Schizosaccharomyces pombe: one gene and its partners. The protein of the gene in region 3 interacts with the protein of the main gene of each other region in a biochemical or structural test. Each region holds a gene or a part of one and is shown on either strand. Other genes may lie near its edges. The genes, in order: nep1, ned8 and cul3.

Evidence for each region.
Region 1: the proteins of cul3 (region 3) and nep1 form a complex in vitro, tested with the Schizosaccharomyces pombe proteins (one study listed by BioGRID).
Region 2: of the proteins of cul3 (region 3) and ned8, one has a biochemical effect on the other in vitro, tested with the Schizosaccharomyces pombe proteins (one study listed by BioGRID).

What each region holds. Positions count from the first base shown.
Region 1 is NC_003423.3:3,297,117-3,307,072, reverse strand, and holds nep1 (NEDD8 protease Nep1), read right to left. Parts: upstream 2,539-9,956; 5' UTR 2,237-2,538; coding exon 2,209-2,236; intron 2,129-2,208; coding exon 2,074-2,128; intron 2,000-2,073; coding exon 820-1,999; 3' UTR 520-819; downstream 1-519. Other genes in the region: synviolin family ubiquitin-protein ligase Hrd1, read left to right, coding at 1-519; psl1 (pho85 family cyclin), read right to left, coding at 3,036-3,767; U6 snRNP-associated protein Lsm5, read right to left, coding at 5,332-5,358, 5,407-5,473, 5,520-5,643, 5,745-5,769; RNA polymerase II nuclear import protein Rtp1, read left to right, coding at 6,247-8,490; sterol transfer protein Ltc1, read right to left, coding at 8,784-9,956. UniProt on the Schizosaccharomyces pombe protein: Protease that catalyzes two essential functions in the NEDD8 pathway: processing of full-length NEDD8 to its mature form and deconjugation of NEDD8 from targeted proteins such as the pcu1, pcu2 and pcu4 cullins and other proteins.
Region 2 is NC_003423.3:2,315,224-2,325,473, forward strand, and holds ned8 (ubiquitin-like protein modifier for cullin Ned8), read right to left. Parts: upstream 5,073-10,250; 5' UTR 5,034-5,072; coding exon 5,016-5,033; intron 4,968-5,015; coding exon 4,950-4,967; exon of another isoform or gene 4,879-4,949; coding exon 4,766-4,878; exon of another isoform or gene 4,716-4,765; coding exon 4,628-4,715; 3' UTR 4,535-4,627; downstream 1-4,534. Other genes in the region: SPOM_SPBC12D12.05C (calcium-binding subfamily carrier protein), read right to left, coding at 1-564, 602-763; cyclin CycC-like Srb mediator subunit Srb11, read left to right, coding at 945-976, 1,389-1,468, 1,547-1,913, 1,978-2,185; thioredoxin Trx2, read right to left, coding at 2,761-3,028, 3,111-3,244; ATP-dependent RNA helicase Spb4, read left to right, coding at 5,160-5,194, 5,324-7,109; SPOM_SPBC24C6.03 (proline--tRNA (Pro) ligase), read left to right, coding at 7,801-9,078; put2 (delta-1-pyrroline-5-carboxylate dehydrogenase), read left to right, coding at 10,033-10,250.
Region 3 is NC_003424.3:485,113-497,843, forward strand, and holds cul3 (cullin 3), read right to left. Parts: upstream 3,603-12,731; 5' UTR 3,504-3,602; coding exon 3,462-3,503; intron 3,406-3,461; coding exon 2,021-3,405; intron 1,982-2,020; coding exon 1,872-1,981; exon of another isoform or gene 1,820-1,871; coding exon 1,755-1,819; exon of another isoform or gene 1,711-1,754; coding exon 1,537-1,710; exon of another isoform or gene 1,486-1,536; coding exon 1,076-1,485; exon of another isoform or gene 1,020-1,075; coding exon 848-1,019; 3' UTR 611-847; downstream 1-610. Other genes in the region: TIM23 translocase complex subunit Tim15, read left to right, coding at 3,667-3,917, 3,962-4,238; gup1 (MBOAT family O-acyltransferase), read left to right, coding at 4,904-5,150, 5,226-5,659, 5,700-5,819, 5,867-6,037, 6,074-6,746, 6,793-6,899; dop1 (family protein DOPEY), read left to right, coding at 7,349-7,364, 7,400-7,518, 7,561-9,273, 9,311-9,503, 9,555-12,577. UniProt on the Schizosaccharomyces pombe protein: Probable core component of multiple cullin-RING-based BC3B (BTB-CUL3-BTB) E3 ubiquitin-protein ligase complexes which mediate the ubiquitination and subsequent proteasomal degradation of target proteins.

The DNA of each region.
Region 1 (9,956 bases), on a different chromosome or scaffold from region 3:
CTAGTATCTAGCAATACTCAATCTCTATCTACCAACTCAGCAATGACATCTTTATATCAAAACGCATCATCAGCAGATAATAATCTTGGCTCCTCTTTACCCAACGTTGTACCATTGAGTAGAGGATTAACACAGTCGAATGAAACGTCTAATACGTTTCCCGCTGCTTCATCTAATATATCTTCTCAGCTTCGTGAACTTCATACCAAAATTGATGAATTACGAGAAACGGTTTCTAACTTTCGTGCTGATTACAATAGTATACGTACATCTTTAAATCAGTTAGAAGCTGCAAGTGGTATTAATGAAAGGATACAAACTACTTCTGCTGATTCACTATTAAATTCCAATGGTATGAGTGGGACTGAAGGATTTGAGAATACGCAGACTTCCATTACAACGAACGACAATCAATCATCGATCTTAACCAGTTCAGATCAAACATCCCCATTTGCAACTGATGAAGATCGACAAAACTCACGAAATGTACAATTAGAAACTGTGGATGAAAATTTTTGAAATTTACTATCAAACTTTTTTGATAATAATGAACGACCTAAAAATAAAGAAGTGATAAGTCATTTACTAATAAATAAATAATTTCTCTTGTATAAACATTTTTCAATCAATAATTAAGCAAACGATTATTGCACTCGTGATAATAATAACATATTTGTAAACAGCAAAAGATTTAGCGACTGCTGATAAAAATTACACAACCATTCACATCACAAGATAGGATAAAACTCAGATTGTTTGAGTTGAAACAAGCCTTCCCGCTAGTTTGTATATTCGAAACTAAACAACGCAAGTGTAGCATCAAAAAGGGAAATCACCAGATACAAGTTCTTCCGGAGGAGTGAGAAAAGGATTATCAGTGCTATTATGAAATTTCGGTAACTCCCCCTTCGCTATATGACTGTTCATATGGACAGAAGGTAATGGCGTAGGCTCAATTTTGTCAATCGCAGATTTGTCAAGTTTCTCATCAGAGAGTAATGGCAAATGATCTTCTTTGTTGTTAGAAGGTGAAGGAACACGATCTTGTTTTTTTTCAGAAGGTGAAGGCACATGATCTTGTATCTTTTCAGAAGGTGAAGGCACATGATTCTGTTTCTTCTCAGCAGGAGAGGAAGGGTCATCGTCATGACTGTGATGATGATGGTGGTGATGATGGTGATGATGATGGCCTTCATGATGCAGGTCCTTATCGCTTTCATGGTTATTATGGTGATTAGTAGATCCTGACTCTGAAGACTTCTTCAAATTAGAGTTAGAGCTTTCATGTGATGTTTCAGATGAGTCGGATGATTTAGGTAGAACCGGGAGGGCAACATCGAGAAGAGGAAGGTGAGATTCTAAGTCAAAAAACACAGTGCCAGTAGGAAAGTCCTCGTCAAAATCGCCGCTTACCCTTGTCCCCAAGGAGTTAATTATATGGTCTAAGCAACGGCTCAACTGCTCCCGAATAGCTGTTACATCTGGCTGAAATGTAGACAAATTCCACATAGAGCTAGTGGGCATCGGTGAATGTAACAAACGCCGAACCAGTTCAAGGGTAAAAGCACAAACGTGTGCTCCACAATCATATCCATTTCTTTGTTGTTGTACGGGCATACACTCTATTGTAAATTTTTTTTTGAAAAGATCCGAAACACGGGCCAAGGCACTGCGACAATCTTTTGTCTTTCCGTTGCTGAGAGAATCATAATAGTAACATTGCCCATCAGGAATACTTGCGACCATTAAAGACCAGTGTGAACCTCCACTTCCTGCCGCATGTTTATCCAAATCATTGATAGGCATAAATAAATATTTGCAGTTCATTAACTTTTTAGGCAAAGCAACTTTGAGCTCTTCAGGAGAAATAGCAGCTTCTGCTAGTAGAAAAACTAACGAAGGGCGAAGCAGCAAAATTTCATTAGCTTGATTTGGGTATGAGGGAAACCATAGGTGCTCAATTAACTCGTCAACATAATCAATACTCACATCAGTGAACCTAGCTTGTATTAATTGAAAGATTCATTTCAGATGCACAAAGTAAAAGTAAAACATGTATCCAAATTTCCTTACCAGTTTGGCTTTTTTAAGCTATCCACGTCTTCCTGCTTAAAACACACATCAAATACTTAATAGCACAAGTTAGTTTTTATTCAGCAAACTTAAACGCTTCTAGACAGAGATTTCACAATATATGTGTAAACTTACATTCAAGAACGGTTGGAGAACTGCTCATTTAAAAATTGTTTAAAAGTAAGTACGAAATGGGGAAAAAAAGGAATTTAAACAAACAATAGGTCCGCAAACAAAACAGCTCGAACGGAAGAGTAACACGAGTGTTAAAATAAAATGTTTATTTTATCGGGTTAAAACAAACAAAAAAATCACGAGAATTGAAAGCGGAACCAGAGACCGGGAATACAGCGTTCCTATACCAAACAGAAGTAAGGCTCAATAAACAAACAGGATTGGACGGCTTAATTAAAATAAAAAAAAACAACTGCAGAGTAGGCGGCAGAAATAAACAAATTGCAACGTGAAGAGAAAGGAACAAATGGAACAGGGATAGCGGAGTAAGCTAAGGACTTTGATCATAGCGGACCTTTACAACAGCCTTAACTTAAACAAGGAACCAAAGCACAATATACCGTAAGCGTTGTAAGCATCGTAAAGTAGAATACCGAATACAAAAGTAGCATGCAATTTCCAAATTCCAAAAACCTTATTGCAAGTCAGATAATCCGAATGTAATAAATGAGAATTTCATGAAACGGCATGTTTTGAGATAAAAACATTAAATAAGAGACAAAGGAGAAATAGCATATACAAGTACAAAATTTAAAGGCCACTTGAAAATTCAGAAACTAGTCGTATCCACATTGACACAGCAGAATGAAATATATATATATACAGACAAAAGGCACCAAGGTAACTTTTCCAAGTTTTAAATAATCAGATTAAATATTTTCAACAGAAAATAAAGATAAATAGATGGAAGCAAAAAAAAATTTGGAGGACCAAACACAGTAGTAAATTTAACCAATTGAGTGAGAAGAGAGTAACCTTCGATCCATTATGGGCCGACGTGGCTGTTCATCTTGTTGATTTTGTTGCGGAGTATGGGAAATGGGAGATTCAATAGAGCATGAAACATCGGTAGGGTTGTAATTCTGCCCATTTTGCCGATACCATGAAAGTAGAAGATCACCGTATGCTTGAAGGTCCTCCAAAGATATAAAAAGATTGAAATCATTAAACACAAAAAAAGATAACTCCAGATGATTTAATTCGTGCAAGGGAATACCACCAACTTTTGCATAGCGACTGTTAGTATAGAAGACATCGCTGAAAAATTTGCTTGCGGCCGTAAACCCAGCGATTAAGAAACGATGAATATTAAAGCTGTTGATAAAGACAGTGAAATGAAAATGATGAACAATTCTGTCAAGGTAAATCAAAACACTTAAAAATACATCGTTAGTTGCAGGACAGTACTTTAAGATTCGTGTTAGATAAGCCTGAATAGATATGGAAGGCACATTTTTTGCAGAAAATATCAAACAAGGGTTCTTTAAACTTGTTGGAGATAATGGTATTTGATCTGATTCAGTAGCTTCCTGCTTGCTATCGTTCAAACGCGTTAGACGCGAGAGAAACACAGATATCATTTCCAAGAGCTTTTCTTGATTAAAAGAAGAAAGCTCCAAGTGTTCTTCATCTTCATCTGTGTTATCTTTTGAGGTTAAAAGCGTAAACGCCAAGGACATAGGACTATTATAAAAATGTTTGGTAAATGGACGAATACGTCTTTACTGTCTGTGACGCCAATCCTAGACTTTAAGTTATTGCGAAATCTTGCGTGTTCTTGTCAACCGGAATACAACGTTGCGTGCACTTATTTAGATCGCTAATTTTTTATGAAGCACTAGTGAAATGTAACAAACTCGACTGTAAACATTGCAGATTAAATCACGAGCGTTTCTTCATAGTACTTTTTCTTGATTCAAGTAGATAGATGAATGTAAAAGGATTAATAAATTAACTTTTTATATCTCAATTTAAAATCCGTATTATTCGCAAGAATCAGTTTAGTTGATTCAAAATCGATTAATTTTTAAAAAAAAGAGTTATGATTCAAATATACAGGAAGCAATACAGTTTTACTAGGAGTCCAGAGCTATTGTTACGAAAATTCTAAGGCTAAATGGGATTTAAATCAAAGTATATAATCGGGTTGGCCTGCGCACCAAGTAGATAATATTTACAAAGACTGTAGTAATATAGCGTTTATATTGAAAGACGGCTGTAATCTGCCAAAAAAAAGAAATCAAAGAAAAAAAGCAAAAGCATTACGATAGTGATTTTCATCTATGTAAAAAGTCAAGTCCTAAAAGCAACGAGATTGGAATTTAAAACGAAAAAGTTTAATGGTTTTAGCTGAGTTTTGTCGTTTTTCTCTAACTATTTAGGGATAAGGGAAGAGAGGATTCAAAAATTTCTTAATAATCCAAATGTATAAATGATGAGATATATAAATCCAAAGTATTAAACTTCGTTTTCATTTTAATTTTACTTTTTCGTTTCCTTCATAAAACTGCTGAAGATACTAATTCTCAAAATTTTGAGTTTACAATAACAAGGTTAGTCACTTTAGTTTATATTAATGATAAACAACAAATATTCATACTTTTTCCAGTGTATAATCATAATAAATCCCCATTTTGGCCAACATGAACAAAAAAAAGTCAGTATGATTCAACCAGATGGGCTGGAAGAGATAACTTGAATAGTAAGATCCTGTAAAGGCTACTCAAATCAATGTTTAGTATGTTGTCTTTCAAATTAGAAGAAAAATTGCTATCATCGTAGGCTATGCATATCCCGTTTATGCCAATTTCTACAGTCAGATTACATTCAAACAATTAACTTTAACACAGTTTACATCATCTGAAATAACAATTCATTTTGGTAGTATAATTTGAGATACAATCACTAATAGGAAAAATTATGGAGGATGGAAGTATTAAGCCTTTATTTTTGAATAATCACTCATTTCAGAAACATGCAACCAGTCCTATAAAATACCTTATTTTTGCAATCAAATTCTTTAAATAACTCGATCAAATTTAACCGTATCCGAAGACATGGCTTTACCAACGCTTGTTGTTCAATTAATGTAAAAAGTGAGACTTGGGTCTAGATATTTTACCATATATGGAGTGCACACAGTATGAGCTAGATTTGGCGTGCAATATATCTCCATTTGTTTGATAATAACAAAAATCACTCTTCCTTCATCTTCAAAAGACTGTTAAATAGCCAAGTACCAACTTATTCGGGTTTTCCACCAGGAATCAACTAGATAGTTAGTGTACAAAAATTCCTTTATTATTTTCATTGACATACCATGCACATCCCATTTCCGTTCAAAAGCATTTCAGAGTGTTTTTCGGTAACGCCGGTAACAGTATCACTTCATAGAAATTAGCAAAGATAATTAAAGTTATTATATTTCATACTATTCTGTAACATCTTTTAGAACAATATTCACATAATCATCGAATCCAACAAGTGTCCCCGCAAATTCGCGTTCACTTTTCATGATCACCCATAAGTTTGATCCAATGCATTTATCAATTAATTCTGCTTGTTAGCATGAACAGATTTACCCAGGGCATAAATCAATAATTTTTCCCTTTTCTTATTATGAAACTAATTTAGAATGTACTAATAAATCTACATACCTAAAGGTAAAATTGTCATCGACATGGTGGAGGTGGATTGCAAGTTCACATAAATTGCTACTATACAAGAACCATGCTATCATTTTACCTGAACACATAGTGTTAAGGGAATATCATTTATTGGAATCTTGAAGATTTTATAAATAAGAGGTTATCGTTTCATTAAAACTGTGGACATCTTATTCGGTCTTATTTTTTGGTCTTGTCGTTTGTCAAAATTACACAGTTGTCGAATAGCGATCCATTTCTTTGAATGAATCCAAGCTAAAGCTGTCTAGTTATAACTTACCCCAAGTATTTATTGCTACGATCAGGAATTAGTTATCCACATATTTTAGCCACAAAGTTCGTTAAATAATTAAGGTTTCCGTACCTGGTTCTCATATTCTAAATATTTGCTATTGCTATTTCTTAGTACGGAAAGTATAAGAGTTGGTTTTTTGCCTTCACTTACTTATAACGTTCACTACTTAGCAAGTGAACTTTACAAGCAATATTCCGCATGGATGCAAATCAGAAGTTATTAGATTTTGCGAAGCTTTTAAATCAAAAGAATGATTCTCGTCCTGTAATTGAAAAATTGAAGGATAATATAAGTGGTGATTTATTGAATTACTTCCTCAATCTTCTAGAGGAAATCTCAAAGTTGGATACAGACCAACCCTTAAGTGTTACCTCTCTACGATGTTTGCAGCTTTTTGTTCATCTTACATTTTTGCTTGGTGTTTATACTCAACTCCCCAAAGAAATGCTATCGCAAGCGAAAATTAAGGCATTACCTATTTATACCCCCAAAAAAAATCTGGTCCAAATTTACAATATTTTACTTCCTTTATTGTTAACTCCAAGTTTATTACAAGGTCCACTTAACCTTCACTATGCCGACTTATTGTTGCTTCATTTATATTTGTTGAACTGCCATGAACAAGGTTCTCTCATTGAAGAACCCAGGCCTTTATTTTTAGACCCTTCATGGAAAGAAAAAGTAACGAGCATAATGTCTCCACAAATGGTTGATCCATCTAAAATGATTTCTTCTTGTTTATCGCTATTACAACCGAATGTAGATAACTGGTTGCAAGATAAATTGAAACATTATTTAACTACCTGTCTTTGTAGAGAAACTGGCGTGCAAGGATTTCTCAAAGTTTATATGCAAGCACAGCCAAATTCAATCGAACGCGCACGACAGGCCGCTCATCTGATTTCATCTGTTCCAAAGGATATCTCACCACAGAAATATTTTTCGTGTATTCTTCCTCAGGTTTGGAGCCTTTTCAGCACTCAACCTCGATTAGCGTCACAACTCATAATTGCTGTAACAAATACACATTGTGATATTGTTACCTCTTTTCTTCTTAAAAAGCTCCAAATACTCGAAGCACCGAAAGTCATCGATTTATCCCCATTTGAAAATGCATTGGACGTTCTTCAAGTATTAGTCTACATTCAAAACGATGATATAATTCGCATATGTGAATCTTGTGTACCAAGTCTTTTGCACTTACAGGAGAACACAACTTTACGTTCTAAAGTTCAGGATATCTTGCTTCGTATTATATCAGTCTGTGGTACCAAATCGCTGTTAAGGAATTTAACAAATGCAAAACATCTTCGTATATTTTGCGAGAGACTGACAAAATCACAATTAGCAATGTTCCTGCCTAACTTGTTAGAAATATGGGTCCAGCAGCCACCAGACAAGCGTTTGGAATTACTCGAACTTGTTCAATATGCCCTGTCTAATGTTGATTCAGATGAAATTCCTAGTAATGTAATGCTGTCTGTCTGCACTAATCTGATCAATGAAGTGGCTAGTCAAAATAAGTATTCCTCTACAGAAATATCCCAGATTACTACTAACCGAGAAGTTGAAGAAGAGAACGAAGAGATTCTTCTTGTTTTGCTTAACATTATATCTTCAGTTATCGGGAGAAACGCTGAACTAGATTTGGAAAACCCTATTTCTTCATTACTTCCTGCACTAGAACAGCTCTCTAATTATAGTAACCGAGAAATTTCTGACCTTGCAAAGGACGTTTACAAAACTCTTATACAATCTAAAGATGACTATTCGTTAGCACTGTCATATACTCAAAGTGACTTGGTGCCAGTGAGAGGACAAGGAGTTTATATGTTAAGGAAGCTAATAGAGAAGAAAGATGATCGTATTAATCCAGTTCGTGTTTTGCACGTTTTAATAAACTTGTTACGTGATGAAAATAGCTACGTGCATTTGAATGTCATATCTGCAGTGGTTTCTCTGTGTGATAAGTATGATGATTCATTGATTCGTTTACTTAAAGAGTATACGAACACAAATAAATTTACCGTAGATGAAACACTTTTGATCGGCCAAGCTATTTATCAGACTATGGAAAGGCAAGGTGAATTGGTAGCAAAATTCTATGGCCAAATTGAGCAAACATGTTTAAGTATGCTTAATAACGAAAATACTGATATAAAAATTTCTTCCTTGAATATTGCTAGACTTTTGTGCCAAATGACCTCAAGTGATGCTTTCATCGAATCTGCAAAAAATATTTTGATTTTAGAAATGGGAAGTGACAAGCAATTTCTTCGACGAGCAGCAGTGCAGCTTCTTGATTCTTGTAAGCATCTTCCTGATTCTGTCATAACGACACTATCTTATGTTGGTTCACACGATAAGGATGATTTTATTAAAGAAAGCTGCTTGAACATTTTGGCTAATCAGGCCGATGCAGCGAAATACTATTTACAATAGCGTTTGTAATTAATATATGTTTATTATTAACAGACACGATTTAATCAACAAAAATCTGGTTTCGTTAAAATTAGACTGTTAAAATGGCCTAAAAACATTATTATTCGTGAAGCAACATGCAAAATTTAGTGATGATTTATCTACACTTAAATTGTTAAAAAAAAATTCTAAGCTTAATTAATGTCATTTCATCATTGATAATAAGAATAAATTCTTAAAAATATACTTGCAAAAGCCCTGACGAAAAAAGCAGGAAAAATACATTGAAAATTCAGTCGCCGAATCAACCGATGTTAAATATATCCACTTGCCTCTAGTTTTCTAAGTCTTTCCTTTAGCTTTTTAAGTCTTCGCTCCATATAATCAGTAGCAATTTTTATTTTACCATGTTCAAGATTCGGATCACTATTTTCATAAACGAAATCCCTATCGCGTTCGACGCTGTCCAACCTAGAAGTAATCCACAATTTAAAAGCTGTGTCGTCCATTGGAATGTGGTCAAAATCTAAGTCCCTGGATGAATCTGAACGAGAAGATGTTGAGGGAAGCTCAGCATGCAATATTTGTTGCATGTACCACCATTGCAATACAAGCATACTAAACATAACCACCAGAAGTAAGTGTGTAGGATGCATTAGCCAGGTAATTATGGTAAAGGGAAAGGTATACAATTTTGTGAGAAAAGATGATGATTGCTCGATTGAAGAATTGTCTACTTTTTCAGGAGCAACAGACGTTTCAGACGCATGCTTATTCTTTTTCTTGGTATGTTTAGTTATTTTCTTCCTCCTTCCCTTAGGAGAGACCTTATAGTTCTCAAAAGCAGTCAGAAGATCTTTAACGTAAGATGCTTGTCCCTCTTGGGCGCCCTTCTCTATTGGACCTTTAAGCCACGAACTTTTGCTCCATTCCACTGAATAGCTTATATTTAATTTCGTTTTTGAAGAATGAGCCCAGCTAAGTGCATATAAGGTCTTTACGACAAATGAAGTACCACTGGGAACATCAGGTGTTGAGGTAGTAGATAAAATTTCAATATAATTGTTTATGTCAAGGTGTTGTATTGTGTCGGTAATGTAGCAACTAGTTTGTCGGTAAGGGGGGGCAACGGGTTTGATGTATTGTACCTTACGATTCCATTTATCATCAATTTTTTCCCATTTTCCAATTTTAATTTCTGTAAGTTTTTCTGATTTAAAAAAGTTAATTATCCATGTGGTATCAGAGCCGCATAGTAAATTAAATACGGTGGACACTGAAAGGTTAACAACATCAGAACATAATACATGCGCTAATGGCGATCCTGTCCACTCTGTTGGAGGGTGTGAAGTCACCTCGGAAACAGATAGTAGTGAAGTGTCTGCCCCATCTTCATTCATCTTTTTAACAGAGTTACCGTCAGATAACACGACGTTGTCTGAATGGGAAGAGCCTTCACCTTTTGGTGATTCATCAGAAACATTGGA
Region 2 (10,250 bases), on a different chromosome or scaffold from region 3:
AGCAACTGAACCAGCCATGCCACCGGCTAAGTAAGAATAAAGAGGACTATGATTTTCAGAGCTTGAAGATATTCCAAGTACTCGTTTCATCGCTTCATATGTACCAAATTTTATGGAGGATTCAGGCATCACCTTTAAAACATTAATGCCATTTCCCACAAAGAAGCTACGTATCCCATTACGGTTCCATAAAACTTTAGTGGTATGTAGCAAAGTAGCAAAAGGATACTTCGGGGAAGGTTTAGAACCAGTGTCTGAAATCAACATGACTTTTAGCCGATCTAATGGCGCTGTACAGGTACGAGAGACGATTCCAGCAATCCCTCCGCTAATGAAATAACCAACGTTATTTTTAGGGTCATTCTCTAGTAACAGATCACCGTCAGGTAAATTCTGTAAACGATGAAAGACGAGTTTCATATGCGGAGTATCATGAATCCAACTTGCAGGAATTATTGAATCATGTTGATGATGCGGATGTGGGTGCAATTTCCAATAGCCATGTCGAAATTGATGCTCAAATTTCTGTTTATGAATGAAGTTTAAATTATCTAAAGCAGTTTTCTAATGGTTAAAGAAAATCCTTTTACATTAAACATACCAATTCCGGACCTTGAAGAAGAGATTGGCAATTTATTTCTTCTTTTGGGGAAAAAACAAATCGCGATTCTGGAAGCCTTGAAACCCGTAAATTATTTTTAAACAAACTATAATCACATGGAAGTACGCTTTGTATAGTGATATCAGATAATTCAGTTGGCATCCTTCATGCCGGTAATGAGTGTACCGGGGTAAAGAGAAATAGGTGAGTCCTCACAGGTCAATGTATCTGACCATACCAGCAGCCCATGAAAATTTATCGTAAATAGTAAAATCTGTGACACTGTTTTTTATTATCTCTTATGATATTTAAGGGTCAATCAGCTTAAAATATCGTGTGATATATGGCAGCAAATTACTGGGCCTCTAGTCAATTGTAAGGTTATCAATTTTAATTTTAAAGGTTTTACGAGAAGGTAATTGGCCTTTAATTCATTCCTATTCTTCTTTAAAATGTCTTAATTGAGTTTTGAATATCTGCTTTTCTATTTTATTACTGCTGAACATATTCTTGACAAATTGAGGCTTGCGAGTGAGCTGATCTACGTCTAATTACTGATCAGAGGAATAGCTTTTCTGTCTACTTCTAGTCACGAGTATCGACTAAACTGGATGTATCTTGTTTGAGTCATTTTGCGCAAATGTCTTGCAATCACAGTTTATTTCGGCTTCTCATTCGTTTCGTTGACTTTAATTTAAAGCGATTTTAGCCTCTTTGTTAGTTTTTGTTTAAAATATCTTCGAACCTTTATTATTCCTTAGTATACTTTTTCAAGCTGACCTTACAGAACACAATTATTCTTATCCACAGATTTGGAATCTTTGGAACCAACTTGCTTATCTAAAGATACAATATATCAATGGAAAGGTATATTTTCATTAATTTTTTTCGGCTTATTCTAGCTTGTGATTTCATTTACACTTCGTTTTGCTGATACAATTCTAGTTGTACAAACGTTTGGAGACAGGCTCAGGCTTCGGCAGCGTGTCTTAGCTACAGCCATCGTTTTATTAAGGCGTTACATGCTAAAAAAAAATGAGGAAAAGGGTTTTTCTTTGGAGGCGCTAGTGGCTACATGCATTTATTTATCATGCAAAGTGGAAGAATGCCCTGTTCACATTCGCACAATTTGCAATGAGGCTAATGATCTCTGGAGCCTAAAAGTTAAACTTAGTCGTTCTAATATTTCCGAAATAGAATTTGAAATCATTTCAGTCCTTGATGCATTTCTCATTGTTCACCATCCCTACACTTCTCTTGAGCAAGCATTTCATGATGGCATTATCAATCAAAAGCAGCTTGAGTTTGCTTGGTATGTATACTTCTTATATTGAAAATCACAGTCGATTAGATTTTTCTAACGATCGAGGAAATAGGAGCATTGTTAACGATTCATATGCCAGCAGTTTATGTTTAATGGCACATCCTCATCAACTTGCGTATGCCGCTTTATTAATAAGTTGTTGCAATGATGAAAATACAATTCCTAAGCTTTTGGATTTAATAAAGAGTACTGATGCCTTCAAAGTTATATTATGTGTTCAACGCATAATTTCTATTTATTATTTTGAGGATATTGAATAACTTCTTGAATACACTATACATTTAGAGCCTCAAATTTTGTTAAAAACGAAAACTATAATTAGATTTTTCTTTATTGCTGATTAATGCCTGAAATTATGTTTTGTTGTCTGGTTTAAAACCGTGTATTATATACGCATTCTCGTTCATGGTGTTATGTCTAAATGAATAAATAGAGCAGTATCTGTGTAATAATATCCAAAATCGAATGGTTATGTCACAAACGTAAAGGATATATTAATGCTTTATCTATGAACCTCAAAAATTATTCCTTAATCACCTCATAGAAATACTCACGTTGTTATAAAATAGCTCATTCTTGTAGCTTCCTGTGTTAATTGAGTTGAACATTCCCCTATTAGGTATTTCTGAAAGGATATTTTTGATTTCAGCAAATTTGGTCCGGCAATTATATAATGAAATTCATAAAGTAAAAACCCTTAAATCTTAAATCTTAAATAAAATAAGCCGTGTCAAGTTTTTAAAACCTAGTTTTGACATAATACAGTGCAATCAACAAATTGAATCGAGAAAGTAAATCAAGCAATTTACGAATGGGGACACCAATATCCCATATTCTATTCTTGATATTTTGCCAACAAAGAAGATAAAGTTTTCACATCAGCGCCGACGATTCTGTCCAATTCTTGACCCTTACGAAACAATACCATGGTAGGCAAGGCATAAACACCGTTCTTTTGAGCAATATCAGAAAATTTATCTGCATTAACAGCAATAAAAGATGCTTTCTGATTTTGTTCGCTTAATTTTTCAAGAAACGGTTTGAGGTATTTGCAAGGACCGCACCAGTCTGCATAGAAATCAACGACGGTAACTTTGTCAGCACTAGTAGCAATTAGCAAGGAGATCTATTCGAAAAAGTTTTATCTTTTATTTTTTACTATGATATATTATTGACTATACATACCTAATTCGAGTATTGTAATCGCCAAACGATTCAACTGCGTTCACCTTTCTCAAAATACGAGAGCTAGTAAAACTTCTGCGCAGAGCAAAAGATCTCATATGCGGCTTTAAAGAGTTTGCAATAAATCCACGCATTTGAATTATAATTTTGGTTGACGGTTTTAATCAAAAATTTAAATAGGTGAAATTATAGCACTTAGTAAGCTAGAACTACCGCCAGGCGGAGAAAAGTGCTTAGTTGCGATCATAAACATTACTCTTTAATACAATATTTTTTAAATTATTACAACATTAATTCAATAAAAAAAGATTAAAAATTTGGGAAACCAATAAAAAAAATTATAATTTAGCATCATTTTTCCCTCTTTATTATATTTTATTAGAATCCTTATTGGAAAATAGAAGCTTTCAAAAAATCTGTAGCCGAACAATTTGAGAGATTTTTTTTTTTTTTTTTTTTTTTTTAATAACTTTAAAAAACACCTAATGAAGTTTATAAATCCTTACCTTTGTTGATTAAACTAAAGTTACTTTAATTTGTTCTTAAATATACAGCCCAAAGATTTTTGGATGGATTTTTTGTACTCACGATTATAAAAACTAGTACTTCAATCTTAAGATTACATAAAACTTCGAAAATCCGGTTATCAGAATTAATTTGAAATTAAGAAAGAATATCATTTTTTTTTAATTTTTATAATAGTAATTTGGCTTTATGCAGACTATTTATAATTAAATGAATCTCTCTTGCTTTTAAATAGAGCAGTTCCTTAAAGCCGATGTCACTTTCTCATAAACAAAAAAAATTTAAAACTTCTTAAATAGAAAAATGAGAATCAATACATTGAAATGGCAATTTATAAGCATATTGATTATACTTTCCTCCTTAAAAATGTAATTTATATAGATTTACATGTATATTTCCTTTATATATGTTTAAGTGGCACCCCTATCAATGTGGCCGTTTGGTCTAGTGGTATGATACCATCTTAGGGTGATGGTGGTCGTGGGTTCGATTCCCACAACAGCCCATGTTTTTGCTACATAGCATTTTGCAGTTAGTTTTATTTAAACAACATTTTCTTTTAGTCTTACTAGAGATTTTGCGTTTATGGTAATTACATTCGATGTTGTACTGAGGAAGTTTTGCTTCGCATGCTACTGCTTTATATACTTTGATATCAGATGGGAATGCGCAAGCAATTGTTGTTATATATTGACTTTTCTGTGCAAAACGTCTCTTTACGACTACTTTACTCATAAATTAACAAGAAGTAATCAATCTTATCGCTGAAATTCATGATCACCAAAACGTCTTAAGTTTAGAAAAGCTTAAGCAATATTTTTATACAAATCAATAGATTCACATAAAATGAAACAGAGCAATAATAAAGCGACTCAATTCTCATTTCGTTACTCTTAGTATTAGTAAAACAGTAAAAAGATTTCGTTTATAGCGTTAAATAAAAGTATGATTTTTTATACATAATTTTTCTTTATAAATAAAGTATGCAACAACTAGCAACTTCCTCCACGAAGAGCTAACACAAGATGCAAGACGCTGCCTCCTTCTAAATGATAACTTTCAGCATTTTTATCATCAGCCCTACGTGATGTTTGTTAGAATCATTGTATGGATGTTCCCATAGTGCTTACATTTGCTTTCCAGCGTAGATCAGACGCTGCTGTGAAGGAGGGATACCCTCTTTTTCTTCAACCCGTTCTTTGATCCTAGAAACCTTGTCATTTGGATCAATGTCTAATTCGATCTTATATTTTGGTTAGAAACATAGATGAATTATAACTGCATATAAATGTTTTCAACATTTAAAACACGAACCTCTTTCCCTGTCAATGTCTATGATTATATATTAGTATACATAAAAAAGAAATAAATTTATCTTACTTTTACTTTGATAAGCATGCTAACTTTTATAAACGCTTTTCTGAAATTGTTGTGGTTAAACGCTAGCAGTTCCTCTCTCTCCCTATAAGCATTCCCCTCTGGCTCACCTCGCGAAAAATTGAATTGGTCTTCAAAGAGGGGACAATGAGTTTTCAGAGTATTAATATAGATAAATGGCTGTAAGTTTTCAATTCTAAAATAAAAATTTTAGGTTCTGCTACATGTTTAACCTGTTCAAAAATTTTTATTATCTAAATGATACCAGGATTTTGTCAAATCAACAATTTACAAGCACTAACATAAACTAGAAAGAACGCCGTAGCTGCTCAAGGATTTAAAAAAATGACACCCGTTCAGGCTAATGCCATACCATTATTTTTGAAAAATAAAGATCTGGTAGTTGAAGCAGTAACGGGTTCAGGCAAGACTTTGGCCTATTTACTTCCTTGCTTCGATAAAGTCACTCGTAGAGATACGGACGAAACAGGTTTGGGTGCATTAATTGTTGCACCTACTCGTGAATTAGCTACACAGATATTCAATGTTACCAAAGAGCTTTTGGCGTACCAACCAGACTCTTTGGATGGAGGGAAAAAACTCGTTGCAGATATGTATATTGGGGGAAAGGGAACGCTCACGAATGATTTAGCTTCATTTCGGGAAAAAAACCCCTCAGTGGTGATTGGTACACCCGGTCGATTGAATGAAATGCTTTCTCATATATCCAGTAAGCATTTGGAAATACTAATATTAGACGAAGCTGATACCCTTATTGACATGGGATTTCAGCGTACATTACAATCCATTATATCTCAACTTCCGAAACAACGTCGAACTGGGTTGTTTAGCGCAACAATGAATGACACTGTGTCATCATTTTTAAAAATTGCTGGCCTTCGAAATAGCGTACGTGTTTCTGTGACAGTTACATCAAAAAAAATTGATACAAGAACACCGTCAAGTCTAGCTATACAATCTTTAGTGATTCCTCCCATATACAAAGTACAATGTATGATACATTTGCTTTGTACGATCGAATACGAAAAAGCAATTGTTTTTTTTTCTTCTTGTGCTTCTGTTGAATATTTTAACTCCCTTTTTCTCACTTATAAATTACCGTTTGAAATAGTAGCTTTGCATGGACAGCAAGTTCAGTCGAATCGATCACGTAATTTTGAAAAATTTAAGAAATCAAATAAAAAAACAGTTCTTTTTACAACTGACATTGCTTCCCGGGGTCTTGATATTCCAAATGTTGACTTTGTTCTTCAGCTCGACCCGCCTTTGGATCCGAAATCTTTTTCTCATAGATGCGGCAGAGCTGGTCGCGCTGGTCGAGCGGGTGTTGCAATAGTTTTGTTAAATGATGGAAGAGAAGAAGAATATGAGGAATTGTTAAGGGTTAGGAAGGTACCTATTACTCGTATAGACACTCCAATTGAAGCTTTAGATCTTTCACGACTTAAAGTATTAACCCACGAATTGAGAAAAATCGTATCCAAAGACAGAGATCTATATGATAAGGGATTAAGAGCGTTTGTTTCACATGTTCGTGCGTACACAAAACATCATGCGTCGTTTATTTTTCGTATCAAAGATTTGGATTTGGGACAGTTGGCCACGGCATACGCTTTATTACATCTTCCAAAAATGCCAGAGTTAAAAGACACCGAAATATCCGAAAATATTTTTAAAAAATTTGACATTGATTATGCAACCATACCATACCGTGATCAAGTACGCGAGCAGGCCAGACGACGCCGATTGGAAGTCGAAAAAACTGAACCCAAAAAATTAGCTCGGCCAGCAAAAATTAAGAACGAAGCTTGGTCCAAACAAAAGGAAGTAAAGGAGAAGCGTAACACCCGACGTGAAAAAAGGAAATCCAAGAAAGAATTTTTGAAGGCACAGAAAAACGAAGCTTCTAATAACCTGAAACAAGAAATAGTATCAAAAGCTGGAGCACAAGAAACGGAAAACGATGACTTAATAGATGAGGAATCGGATGCTTTATCTGAATTAGAAGAGGATTACCGACAGTTGAAAAAAAGCAAAAAAAGAAAAAATCAAGCATCCTTTGGATTTAGTATGTAGCAATGTATTTTTAGGGAATGGAAAAAAAAACGGGGTTTTGGAAATATAGGAAAGTCTTTTAGTATTTTTAAATATTTGAGAACTTGGAAGATTAATTGGAGTTGTTCAGCAAATATTAAGTTCTTATTCATCAGCATTTATTTTTGAATTACTGCATTTGTATATTTACTTTACATTTACAACGATTACTTAACAAATTTGTGAAAAATGCAATTAAGCGTTTATCTACACATAATTCTGCGATCAATTTGATATTTAAGAAGTAAAATACTTTAAGCAACTGAAGCAGTAGATACATTCAATAAATTTAGATTACATTTCCACAATTAATTCCAAATTTTTTTTACTAAAATCTGGTTAAGGATATCATATATATATTTTACTAATTACTTATAGTGCTGTCTACGGCCATACCTAGGCGAAAACACCAGTTCCCGTCTGATCACTGCAGTTAAGCGTCTGAGGGCCTCGTTAGTACTATGGTTGGAGACAACATGGGAATCCGGGGTGCTGTAGGCTATTCCTAACTTTTTGCTAGCCTTATTGCAATAAGGAGGTCAACTCAGTTATTTATTTGGACGAACCCAGCGCCTATTTCGATTACTATTGACAAACTACTTCTATTGGATCATTTATTTTGCGATTCTGAAATTTTTTATATGCTTTTGTATAAAAACACCATGTTTAAAAAATGCTACAACATTTAAGGAATCGTGCATCGATTGAAGTGCTAGGGAAAGCGATACGTAAATACAATGTCCCGGAATCAGCGAATCAGTTACTTATAGATATGGGGTTTATCCAGCCGTCTATGCCTGGAATTTTTCAATATTTACCTCTGGGGTTGCGTGTACAAAATAAAATATGTGACTTGTTGCACATATCAATGCGTTCTTTGGGTGCTTCAGCGATCAGTTTGGCACATCTTTCTAGTAAGGAGATATGGGAGAAAAGTGGAAGATGGCAAAAGACTGGAAGTGAACTTTTTCGTCTTCATGACCGAAATGACAGAGAAATGTGCCTTGCTCCTACCCATGAGGAAGATGTTACTCGCACTATGGCTACAATCATAGATTCTCAAAAGCAATTACCGATACGTGTTTACCAGATAGGTCGAAAGTTTCGGGATGAATTACGTCCGCGAGGTGGTCTTCTTCGCGGTAGAGAGTTCATGATGAAGGATCTTTATACTTTTGATATCGACAAAGCATCCGCTATGAAAACTTACGAGGATGTTTTGCAAGCATATCATACTTTTTTCAAAGAAGTGGGATTGCCATTCGTGATGGTGAAAGCTGCTACGGGTAATATTGGAGGAAACTTATCACACGAATTTCATTATCGACACCCTGTGGGAGAAGATGTAATCTATACATGTCCGTCTTGTCATTATTCAACAAATTCCGAAATGCTTGATTTGTCTAAAACATCCAGTGATATTTCATGCCCTAATTGCAATGATCAGCTAACTTCAACTACCGCGATTGAAGTAGGACATGCCTTCTATCTTGGAAAAATTTATTCCTCCAAATTTAATGCAACGGTAGAAGTAAAAAACAAACAGGAAGTCCTTCATATGGGATGTTATGGAATCGGTGTTTCAAGACTTATAGCTGCAGTCGCTCATGTAACCAAAGATGCAAAGGGTTTAGTGTGGCCATCGTCGATAGCTCCTTGGAAAGTACTAGTTGTTCCTACTTCTGATAATCATATTCAGAGCGCTGAAACGGTTTACGATGCCACGGCTAACGTTGTAGGCTTTGATAATGTGCTGTTGGAGGACAGACAAAATAGAGCTTTTGGATATAAAATGAGAGATGCTGAGTTGATTGGATATCCATTTGTAATAGTTGTAGGATCAAGATTTCAAGAGGAAGGAATATGTGAAATTATTGTTCGTTCTTCAGGTGAACGATATAAACTTGACAAAGATTCACTGCATCAAGTACTCTTGGGAAACTTTCTTTAAATTTGTCAAATCCTACAATATTTTTTTATGCTATGAGAGTAATCTAATGTCAAGAATTTAACTTATCGTTCAAATAGATACCATTTCTACTTGTGAACATTGGAAAAAAGCTTTTTTGTCCAAAAATTATATCAATGCAAAATGCTGAAATCATCATTTCGATAAAATTTGTTTTGTAGTATCAGACAAAAACTCGTTCCGCTTTATTGATATCTTACTATTTTATAAACATTAAAAAAGTGTCATGTTTCCTTCCTACTTCTTTTTGTAATTCGGTTTTCTGCAACTATAGTTTGAACTCATAAATTAAATCAGATACACAATCTGAGGATCGGATGCAAAACTAAGTTTGAAGTAATCCCTGCAAAGAGCTAGCTGATTCAATAGTACGAAGCAAGAGTTTAATATTAACAATCATAAAGATTTGCGCTAGATTACAATTTAAGCGAAATACAATTCCAAGCCTTCAGGCTATCTATTTAATAGTTCGGTAAGATAATGTGAAGATGTCCGAGTGTGATTAAAAGCAGTTAAAACACTTCCCTTTGAAATAAATCAAATAATACGACCAAAGACCAACAAGTTCAGGGTTCACTTCTATAAGTCTCATAATCAATATTTTAGCTGATTTTTTAAGCAAAATTGCAAATTCCACGGAGTGCGATCACATCGACACTACCTGTTTATAAGAATATATAGGAGTATATATATAAGAGGCAAATCTCTGTCAGGATATTTCCAGAACACCAATACCTCAATACAGGCGATTAGAAAGGAAACGATTTCTAACGCTCTTTAAACGTTTGGATTGAAACTAGTAAGTATTTATATCTATGTAATAACTGTTTTGAGTGAGACCCCTACGCGTCTTTTCATTGCTTTCTATCTTTAGGTTTTCTACGTTTTATTTATGCGATATTAATACTTATTAGATTTATTTCATTTTTAAGTAAAATGTCACAATTTGCTGAGTTCAAATTACCTGCCATTAAGAACGAGCCTCCTAAACACTATGGTCCCAATAGTGCTGACAGAGAGGGAATCGTCAAGGCCTACAAGGAGTTAGAGGCTGAATTACCTGTCACTATCCCTGTCATCATTGATGGTAAGGAAGTTGAAACGAATACCATTGGTGAGCAGCGTTGTCCTTTTGAGCACAAAAAGGTCGTTGC
Region 3 (12,731 bases):
ATCTTAGCTTAAAGTAAGAGATTGTAATCAACCTTTGGCAACCTTGCGGATACTTAAAAGTGTTTGGTGGTTAAAAGGAAGTGTGGTACGCGGAACCAATTAAATGAAATTGGCGAACAAGTGGGGTTCGTTAAGATATTTGAGGTTATTTATACAATTTCCTAAACAAATAGAATTAAGCGGAGAATATACAGAATAGCATTGAACGGTAGATATTTTTAGGGGTTCTTCCGAGATTGCTAAAGAGGATAGCGTAGTCCGTTAGGAAAGAAGAATATTCTTAATGTAAACAACCAGGTGTTTCAATACTAAATCAAATACATAGCTTTATTATTTGATTAACACCTTAAAGATTATAAGGAGCTTTACTTGCTCTGGTATTTTCGATGTTATTAGTAGAGTCATCATCAAAAGCATACTGTGTAGGATAGTGTATTTACGGCGAATTCGCTTCCTCCCATAATAATTTTTTAGGTTAACACTTCCCATCTATCGTTGATCAAATACCTTAATCTATTTTAAACTGAGGGTTTTTCTGTTTTGGTCTTTTTGTACAATGTATATGGAACAATGTAATTTAAACTCATTACTCTACTATCTGCTCGCAGAATTAATGTATCAAATTTTGATTGATTTGGAATATAATCTACCTGTTTTCAAACCTTCTTATAGCATTACTTAAAATTTTCTTTTTTTCAAAAATAAAAAGGAAGTTGGTGTAAAATTCATGAGTGTCATTATAATCACAAAGCTTTTGCTAGATATCATCTTGAACAAATTGGTATCTTTCCATTTAAACATGATTTCTCGTATACGAATATTGCATTTCGTGTAACAGTTAAGGCTGCTATGCTAAATATTCATAAATGCGACCATTATCGGCTTGTCTTTGTAGGTACTCCCGCTCTATTAAAGCTTCAATTCGTCGCTTAATCATCATCGGACTAGGGTGGAAACGAGGGTTTAACTGTCTTGTAACCTCTGCCATCAGCTGATTGTGTTCGCACACTTTGCGATCCCTTAATTTACTGTTAGTAAAAATGTTTGAAAAAAAAAAAAAAGGAAAAAGACATACTTCATCACTCTAACAATACAGGCATCTGCTTGATGCTTCCTTGACTCGTCTACCTTCTCTAATGTACGTTTTCTCTCACTATCATCCTCAACACGAGTCTGAGCAACTGTCGATATTTTAATCCGGGCGAGATTTGAAACAAAGTTCTCATTGAAATAAAACTTGTCACCTGCATTCACCTCCCTTCCTTTTGGATCCTTTAGCAAAATCTTGTATTTTGCACAAGCAAGGGACTGAAGATTGCGCTTCAAATCCCCAACTTCTATATTGGTTTTTTCCAAAATCTCCTCAAAAATTAAACACTGATTTTCTTTTAGGTCTTGGAAAAGCAATAGAATAACAGATGCAATAGTCGATACATTCAAGTCATATTTTCTGTCTTTGAAATTAACACGGACATCAGCACTTCCCTAAATAGGATTGTTAGTGTGACGCAACAAGCAAATAAAAGTTTACTATACCATAGAAGGATACCACAATAATTTTCTCCCCGTATGTTTCGATAAATAAAAATCCGTAAATTGATCTATCTGAGCCAGGAGAACTTTCGGAAAGTTACATTTAATTTTGTGAGGCGATAAATCGATGGGCCAAAATGTAGAAGCCAAAATTGAAACGTTTAAGTCCAAAGCAGGCTAACTGTTAGTATAAAGGATTATCAATAAAAATTTCCACTAACCTTGGCCGACTGTAACGCAGAATTATGTTTGTACTCCTGTAACAATTCTTGTGAAAGATTCATATCTAAGCATTAATAAGGGAACGCAAAAAAACTTGCTAAAGTCTGAATACTTACCATTAAACATTCCTTCGAGCTTTTGAGTAAAAACATTACCAGCTTCTTGTTTCAGCCTACTGATCATTCCGAGCTCTGCATCGGAAGATATTGATCGATTATTCAACAACCTAAAAGTGTTAAAGACAGTAAAAACAATTAAAGCATACCTTTTTGCAAGGTGTGTTTTGTAATATTTTTCAAAAACATCTTTTTCTGAAATAAACCGAAATAACGTAACAGAATTTTGAAGTGTTGCTTCAATAGAGCCTTCTATTGCTTTTCTAGCATCTTTTTTCAGATTGTCATCAATGAATAGTGAAATGTACTCGGGGGCTCGGGTATATCCGTCTACGAACGTAACAAAAGCATCTGATAAAGAGTTCAAGATAGACCGATCAGCATCCATAGTAGTACTTATAATTGTATTTAGTCTATCCCATAAGGCCAAAACTTTTTGAACCCATAATGTTGCCATTGTAGCATTAGATGATAGACGACCAACAGCCATCTTTCCTTCAAGCGCTTGGCTAGTAGTTTCATTGATTAATTTTCCATGATGCGCTACATATTTCGCCAAGTATTTTTTTAAAGACTTCACGCCAAGTTCCACTCTAGAAAAGCTTTCGTAAACCAATTGAAGACCCTCGAAGTTTGAAGAGTCGATCATCGAGAAAAAGCCAGTTGATTGATTTTCAAGCAAATCGTCCAAATGTTTACTCAAAAGCTCATCTTCAACAACGGATAGAAGGGGGCTAGCTATTTTTGTGAACAGGTAATTCTTGGACCTCTCCTTTTCTTCCTCAAATCTTTTCTCTGCTTTTTTCAGATACTCCACAACTCCAAATACGCCGATGACTGTTGATGATTCTATTTCATAGAAATTTCTTGTGTAAGATAAAAACTTTGGAGCAAATAAAACATCATAAAGAGTTTCCTTTTTGTTTTCTGAAGGCAAAGAGTTTAGCATATCTAAGCAGTCATTTATTAAGGGTCGATTTATTGTATTCCCTTTACGTTCAAGATAAACCAGAATTAGAATAGTTTCGACACATTTCTCTCCAATTTCAAAACTATTTAACAAAACAACTTCACGAAAGATATATATTCCGTTTTCATTAACAGGAACTTTGTCTGCAGATTTTGAATAAACCTTGTCCAAATATTTTAATACACTAGATATCATTTGCATTGAAACAATGTGATCCTTCCAGGAATTAACTAAAGACGATAAAAATCTATGAGCCGCTTCCAATGATCTCGACCATGAAGTAGAATAGGAATCATTTTTTCTAATATCCAATAGAGCATTCCCTAATAAGGAAGCGTCATAGTTTTTGTAAATAGCTGGAACAGTTTCTTCTTTAAGCCTCGATCTAATAACATCCTGTACATGATTATAAAGCTTTTCTCCATACTTATGTAGAACAAGTATATATGCATTTCTATACAACTCTTCAAACGATAATTGAGATGTGCTTTTCTGAAATATATCCCCAATAGCTCGCTGCAAGACTTCCCAATGTGTAGCAAAGTCTACTTGGTTAGCAGAAAACTAAATGTCAGTATGTGAGGAAAATAATAAGGACAGCATGCATCAGGTACACTTACTTTTCGTGGCGCTCGAATTTTTAACTTCGCTGACCGCTGCATTAATAATGGAATTTAAAGTTAAGTTTCAACAAAAAAGCTAAATATATGGGCATATGAGTTTGCATAAAGAAACGCCAGCACAGACGGAAGTAATGGTACAAAAGGTGGTAGAAGGTACTAACTACGAACAACATTCTCCGAACACAAAAATTTTTCAAACATAATGTGGAGCTTTGCACGGTATACTCAAAAATTCTGTTTACGAAATTTGCAGTTAAAAAATTTTTCAAACAAGGTAAAGGTTTCAAGTTTACTTTTCTGTTCCCCGAATGTGAGAAACATTTCTAATTGGCAATGCAAACGCTTCACTCAAAGCGATGCTAAAGATCTTGCAAGTGGTGTTCCCTCTGTAAAATCAGATGCTGATCAATTACAACCTAAACCGACTTATAATGTTTCTTTTACTTGTACCGTGTAAGTATTTATAATTTCATTGAAGGATACTAACCAAATGAAAGATGTAACACTAGGTCAAATCACAATTTCTCCAAGCAGGCCTACCATAATGGGACCGTTTTAGTTCAATGTCCTAAGTGCAAAAATCGGCACTTGATGGCTGATCATTTAAAAATATTCTCTGAAGAACGGGTGACGATTGAAGACATTTTAGCTAAGAAAGGGGAAACTTTTAAAAAAGGCTATGGTCAAGTAATCAATGGCAATGTTGTAGAATTTAAGCCCCCTCAATTTAAAATTCGACCAGCAAAATCATCTTCTTCCAATTCTTCCAAATGAACTAGGAGAGCGATCAAATTGGGTTTAGGAGCATATAAATTGCAAGATATAGTCATTGTTTATTTTAATTTCTATAGTATATATTATTTTTATTTATTTTTGTAATACTTTGGTCAATATATACGACGTTCTAATAGAACATTTAATTATTATATGAGCTTGTTAACTTGAAATTATCTTTTGAATTTTTAGACTAGATGTGATAATTTAGCAATCATTGAGCAAATCATATCCAAAAAAAAATAAATTAATTAATTAATTATAAAAATTAACGATTTTAGAGATCTAAATGGGCTATACAGAATTATTGCAAACGAATGTAAAACATTTTTCAATATATAAGTTGCTAATTTACCAAAATCAAAATTTAGTCTTTAAAGATGCTTAATTAATATTTCTATTTTAATAGCGCGTTTTGTATAGTGCTGACTATTTTATTCATTCCAATAAACAATACAAACTGAATTTATTATTTTTAAAAATATAATTGATTTCATCATACTCTCTCTACCTTACTCTTAAAATTATTTACGGACTATGAAGCTGACACAAAGTGTAAATTACGCAGTGTCTTGCATTTTGCTAGTGAACACCACTAGGTTTGTTTACTCTATGATATTTTGAGAACCGACCATCTTCTTTGCTGTTGGTAGGAGACTTCTAGGATGTTACGTTTATTTCGATTTGATGTTCTTGAGACTTCGACCAAAGATACTGAAAGACCCAATTCTAAAAGTTCACGGTTAAGTTCGACTTCTGGTTCAAGTCATCCATCTTCATCTTCACGTTTGACCGTTCGAAGCGCAGTTCCGGAAAAGAGCGCTTTTGGTTCCATAGAATTTATTTTTTACTTTTCTGTCATTCTATCGATTCTAACAATTGCTTGTTTTAAAATTCATTATGTTAGTTCTCGTAAGTGTCAAAAGCTTTAATCAGCCTTTTCTATTTATCAATTTGAAATAAAGTAAGCAACTAACTAGGCGTCAGCAAAACATCCCAATTACAAAAACATTGAAAAATATTTAAAGCCTGGGTGGTTGTTTGGACAAAAAGTCGATTCCGCTGATTTTCAGTATTCCGCGTTTCGTGAAAATATGCCAATCTTACTACTTGTAATTATTGTCTATAATTTTCTCTGGAGACTCGTTAAGCTTGTCTTCACAAAAAATACTAATGATGAACTCGCTATAAAAAACAACTATCGACTTTGCTTCTCCCTGCTGTTTGCATTACTTGTCTACGGGACTGGCGTTATATATGTTTTAACAATTGCATTGATCAATTATCTCATTTCTAAGTCTCTAAAGAACAGTATTTTTAATCCACTCTTGACATGGACATTAGATATATCAGTGGTGTTTTTTAAAGAATATTTTGCCTATTGCAAATTTTCTAGCCTTCATCCAGGCCTAGGGTTTTTGGTACGCTATCTTTAGCCATCAGATGTTAATCTTTTTACAGGATCAATATACTGGGATTCTTGAGCGCTGGTATGTTCTTTTTAACATTACCATGCTTCGGCTCGTGTCATTTAATATGGATTATTACTGGTCCTTAAAGCACAACTCTGAAAAACTTAACGTAAGTTTGAGCACATGCCTTTTGAGTTTATAAATAATAACCATTAGACTCTAATATTTGACAAAGATCGTGAGCCAACAACATTGACGTTTCGTGAAAGGGTTGATTATTCTTGTCTTGATGAAGATTATAATCTTAAGAATTTTTTGACATACATTTTTTATGCCCCTTTATATTTAGCGGGCCCTATCATTTCGTTCAACAATTTTATGTCCCAGGTAAATTGTTTAATTAAATTTTCTGCTAATATTTAGATGAAATATCCCACAGTTTCAACGCTAAAATACAGGAACCTTCTTTATGCAATTCGATTTTTAGTATGTGTTCTCACCATGGAGTTTTTACTTCACTATGCATACGTTACTGCTATTTCTAAGGACGGAAATTGGAATCAATACAGTGCGGTTGAATCCGCAATGATAAGCTTTATCGTTCTATTTATGACTTGGCTAAAATTGCTTATACCGTGGCGATTATTTAGATTATGGTCATTAATTGATGATATCGAACCTCCCGAAAACATAGTTCGATGCATGTGTAACAACTATTCAGCTGTTGGATTTTGGCGAGCATGGCACCGTAGTTTCAATCGATGGTTGATTAGGTATATTTACGTTCCTTTAGGAGGAAGTAATCATTCAATCTTGAACTTATTTATTATATTCACCTTTGTCGCTCTTTGGCATGACATCAGTTGGGAATTATTTGCGTGGGGTTGGTTAATTGTACTATTTATTCTTCCAGAACGATTATGCTGCTTTATGTCGCGTAGAACTGGTCTTACTAAGCACCCTTACTATAGATACATCTCTGGATTTGGGGCTGCTCTAAATATTTACTTTATGATCATTTGCAACTTGATTGGATTCGCAGTTGGAATTGATGGAATTAAAAATGTTCTTGTCTCATTTTTTCTGACCCTCAAAGGTAAGAAATTTATCTATTTTCGGATTTGTATAACTAATTATTATAGGTGCAATGTCCGCGATAGCAGCATTTATAATGTTCTTCTCTGCTGTACAAATCATGTTTCAAATTCGCGTAAATGAAGAAGAAGAAGGAATTAACTTGCGTTGCTGAATATTAGTATTAAAAAAAAAATACGTGGATCATTACTAATTTTTTTATTTCGTACTTTTTTAATACTTGTTTGTTGTAATAATCATCAGTAATTATTTGGAAAATTACCTGTTCAATTTTGTGAGGTTCTTACTGTGGGATTGAGTATTAGTAACAATAGCACATACCGCGTTTTTAAAATAATGGTTCTGGTATAATTTACAAAAAGAATGAATAATTACTAAATTTACTTGTGACTTTTTTAAAAGTCCATCCAAATAATTGTTTACAGTTTTATCGTAAATAAATACTCAGAAGCACATATTGCAAGTCACAGACTTCTAACTCACTATACCCCAGATATATGCTAGCGTAGCTTAGCCTTATTCCTAGCCTTGCCAACTAACCAACAAGTGCAATAGTTTCTATGCAGTCATATTGAATTTATACCCGTATTTTATGAGCGTATTATGAACACTATAATTGGTACGATTTTAATATGATCTTACATTAACTTTTAGACGCTTCGAATGATGCTAAATATCGAAAATACCAAGACGCCATACGAAAATGCATAGCTTTATTCCAAACTGTAGAACAATGGCCCGATTATATCTCCTTTTTAACAAAGCTGCACAAGGTAAGTGATTTCACTTATATTTATACACAGACTAATATCAAGGTTTTGCAAACTCACTCTTCGTTTGTTAATATTCCGTGTAGTTTATTAGTTTCACGAGCTTTGGCCGAGTGTCTCTCTCCCGGACTTCCTTCTGGTGTTCACAAAAAAACGTTGGAAGTCTACGACTACATTTTCACAATAATCGGAAGCAAGACTCTCACAAATGAATTATCTACATGGTCCTATGGTTTAACTCCGTTTTTTTCTATTTCTTCAATTAAAACTAAACATGATTATATCAATATAATCAAAAAGCATTACGTTTCCCTAGGTGTTGGGATACGCCCGTGTTTTCAAGCTGTGTTTATTTCTCTTCTATCTGGCTTAGAGGAAGATGTCGATGAATCTTCTCAGGAAGTTTACCATCTATTAGATGACTTGGTGAAAGTTTTAAATGATGAAAAATTTGCCTGGGGTTGTATTTGGTCTACTATTCTCAGTTTTCCCAGTCAACGGCCGGGTGCTTTAGCCTATCTGCTCCGTGTATGTAATAATTTAGCTGAAGAAGACATACAAACACGAGTAATTCAACCTGATTCTGGGTTGGTTGTTCGAAGTTTTGCAGCAGCTATCAGCGACAATGATATCCTTGTACAAAGAGGATACATGGATGCACTCCTTAATTACTTTCCCATACAGTCAACTTTCTATAAAGATGTTAAGCCTTTCGATTTAAAGCTCCTCCATATGTCTGTTGCTTCTATAGTTTTAAGGAACGATCTATCTCTAAATAGGAGATTTTATGCTTGGTTGATGGGTTTGTCTAAGGATACAGAATTGTCGATATCTGATTCTTCAATTACTGTTGATGAAAATACATTACAGCAAAATATGGCGATATTTTTTGAAGGTGTAAAAGATCTTCTGTCATCCAAGAATAGCTTAATGTCTTTTTATAAAGCTTTTCGTATTCTATATGCTTTATCTGATCGACGTCCTTTATTTACAATTGTCGAAAGCCAGATACTACCCTGTGTATTGCATTCTTACGAAACTCTCACGAATGTTTTTCATAGAGATGATTCAAAGCATTTATATGAATCTGCCGTAGATCACGGACGACGCTTAATAATGAAGTTTAGCGATTCCGAATTACACACTTTTTTGTTTCATTGTGTCAATAAAATAGTTGCGAATACTACGGAAAATAGCGATTCTGCGGAAGCCGTAAAGTTTATCCTGGACAGTCAGAACTTCTTCTTTGAGTCTATAAATACTGAATATTCATTCATAATTTTCACAAACTTACTTATGCATCTTGAAAAAACGTCTCCCAACTCTGATGTTGATGGGGTTTCTATGACTATTTTGACTATTTGCAAAATTTTATTGAATAACTTCGACTGGAATTTTTTTAATTATAATAATTCTGCTATTGACAGTTATGCGAAATGCACGTTAAACTTAGACTCGGACTTTGAAAATGGCATATTAACTTATGAGATTTTGTATAAAAAATGCAAATGTTCGTTATTGTCACTGTTAAAGCAATACATAAAAGATTCTCATGTTCATCATGAAGTTTTATTAATATCTCTTAATCTTATCAAGGAAGCTTCAGACACCGAATTTGAAAATGAGTTTCTTGATCTATCCTTACAGGGATTTAAAGATAATTCGTGGAGTTTTCAAACCCTTGGTAGTTTTGTAAAGCAATTGCCATCAAGGATTTTGATTAACTCTACAGCTTGCGTCAATGTGATTTTGGATAGGGTAAGTACTTATGATATCCAACGTACTGACTATGTAGATTTGGTGTGAGCTATGTATGTTTTCTTATTTCAGAGAAGAGGAGCTTTTATCTGTTATTTGGACCCTCCAAGAGAAACTTCAAACTAGAATAATTGAATCGTACTTTTCAACGTGCATTGTGAAAGAGCAACTTGAGCTGAGAGCTCCAACGATATACTATACACCTTTCTATAATCTTTTAAAGAAGAGTGGTAAGTTTTTCTTGTTTTCTTTTCTTTTTTTACTGTTTTCTAACTTTCAAGCTCAACAATCTCTGTTTCATTTCGTTTTTGACAGGCCCCTATTACTTTTATTAAATTCATTATTAGAAGATGAGTCTGGGAGAGATTATACAGCAATGATGAATTGGATTAATGCATCAAGTTCTTTGCAATTACGTGTCTTGGAACTTATGACTGAAAATTTATTGAGTTTATCTCCCAATCTAACCAGTGTCAATTCTCTGGAAACGGCTATGACCAGATATAATATAAATGAGGACCAGAGAAATAGTGAAGCTAGTCGATGTGTATATTTTCTAAAACTTTGCACTCGTATAATTTCTTATTTTCAAGATCTTCATCCTAAAGAAGGAAGACTTAAGAGTGCGAAGCAGGTAGAGGAACTATGCCTGGTCACTTGGGCTGACGCCCTTTTGATTCAAAAAAAATCTTTAACTTACTCTTCATTTCTTGCTTTTTTAGTCAAACTGTGCTTAGATATAGTATTAACTCCTCAAAACATAAAAACGAGCACAGATGTGTATATTATTCAAACCTGGGCTTTGCGATTGCTTTACCAAATAACCTCCATATGGGAAAACCCTCTAAAATTTGAATCTAGTCTAATCGTTGGGTTGTTTGCGCTTGTACAGGAAGTTGAGCGTTCTCCTTCATCAACTTATCGAAGTTTTATTTTGAGTCTTTTGCAAATGCTAGAATTTTTACTCTCTCGATTAGATGGGACTATAGATCTTTCCTCTGAACAGCATTATCTGTTGTCCAATTTTGTTTTGGTTGGAATGTTGAATGATGATCCAGGACTTTCGCCAAAGTGGCTACATGCTATAAAGAAGCTTTTACCTCTTCTTTTACAAAACCTTCAACTTTTGATGGTTAATCCCATTCAATCTTTGTGCAAATTTGTTCATTCATTTCTTGACCAACACGAGTCTATGTACCTAAAATACCCTGACCCAGTAAAAGATTATGCGTGCATGGATGTTTTTATTGCTAAGTTGAAAATGCTTAGCGAGTTAGTTTCAGCAGCCTTATTGGAATTCACATATTCACCCGGCCCCAAGAAAAGTAATTTAGAAGCCAATGGTATCATCGGAAATGTCATTTCTGGTGTGTTTGCAGCGGAGTCGTCAGGCGTTAGCATCGATGTCAACAAGAGATTATCTATGCTTTTAACTATGCAGGATGCTTTGCAAACATTATTTTTATCATATTCATGGCATATTCGGTCTTCATATGCTGATAAAACGTCAAAAGTATTTATGAATGATTCATCGGTTTTAAAAGAAGCATCCTTATCGGGATTAAAAGAGTTTTACTTCTGTGAACCTCTTGAATGCGTAGAAACGCTGGTACAAATCTATTTGGAGAACAATGTTGAGTGTTGCCAGTGTATATGGGATATATTTTCATTTCTTAGTGATTCTGAACCTCAGTACATTGTTAAGCAATTAGTTTCTTCTTTTTTTGCACGTGAAGGAATAGCTAGTTATGCAGGGCCTTCTAGTTTGACAGCAAAGATTACACAACTCGATATTTTATGCTGTATGTCTGACTTCGTCTCCAGAGTGGAGGGCGAAAACACATCTAAGATTTTTACGGAAATTTCAAAATTTGTTCGGGAGATTATTTCTTCCTCAAACAGCTTTAAAAACTATTTGCTGGTATGTTTACGAATGCTACTGGAAGTTGCAAAAAACGTGAACACTTATTGCGAATCTCGCCAGCAAAAAGACTTTATTGATTTGATGGGGAAAACATTGTCCTCAGTCTTATTTCATGCAGGAAAATCAAGTGATCCAAACCTAACTGTAGATTTTCTGGCGTATCATAAAGCTGCTGCAGACACGTTTGAGGTTGCCAAAACACAAAAGAAAACTAGCTCCGTGTATTTATTCGTAAAATACTTAGATCCCTCTTTGCTTGACTTTTTCTGTTCTGAGTTTGTTCCAAAAATAACCGAGCTTTCTAAGGAAGAAGATAAACTAGTTGCTTGGGCTACATCAATCGTCAATGTATTTATAACTCCTTTAGTAAAGGCTAGGACATTTCCGGAATCACTCACCACTTATCATTTGGACTTATTGCTCGTGTTGAGTAAACATCCGTTTTTGAGTAAATCATGGAGGCGCGATTTTTGGGAAATTTTTAATGATAATTCACTGTTCAGGTTCGATATTGATCAATTAAGAAAGCTTTCTCCAGTAATATACACAGCTTTGTACCAAGAGATATCTAGATTAAATGATCTCATAACAAAATCTGATTTAGGCGTTACTACTTTATTTACATCTCGGGATACTCAACTAGGTGCAAGGCAGAGCAACATATGTCGGATCACAATATTAATGTTATCTTCTCCACGTGATTTTTTCCTGCCTAGTCTTCCACCTCTGATTGACCTTGTCAAACGGCTTATAACGTCTGATCCTGAAGGAGTATTAAAAAAGGACCTGTTTTTATTTATTAGAGCTCTAGCTTTAAGGACCTCTTCGAAGCATTTGCTTCCATTATGGCCAATCGTTGTTAGCGAATTGTTGATCATTTTTAAATCTTACTGTATGCCAAATGTTGCCATTTCTAAAGAGACATTATTAGACGCATGCAGGCTTTTGGATTTTTTAACTGCACTCAAACTTGAAGAATTTGCGCTACATGAATGGGTTGTGATGCTTAGTCCACTAGATGCTGTCTATTGGAGCGGAAAAACTAGCCGTAAATCCCTCGTACAAAAGGTTTCTGAGCGACTTCAGGAGCAAGCATCGGAGAAGGACGACAAATCCAGTGTTGAATCCGAACATTCTATTCTTACTTCAACTACAAGAACCCCTTCTTTAGGCATTTACACAACGGACGCTCAATTAAGAAACTTTTTAAATCGCATTTCTATAGACGCTTATGAAGAAAGCTACTCGTTTTCAACAATCGACATACAATCTTTTGAAAATTCTATTTACAGGGAAGTTCTTCAAAGGTTTTCTAATGCTCCCCTATCTCCCTTTTCTTCAATTAAGGCTCCATCAAGCCTGGCTGGCTCCAGTAATTAATTCATAGTATTTTATATCGATTAGGAAGTCTAGGCTGTGTGGCTTCTTATGTAACTTCCAGTTACTCTAACCTAATTATTTTTGTATGTATTTTCTTTTCAAGTTTCAATGTTTATATTCGGAAAATGGCTATAGGGTTTAGTTTGCAAATACT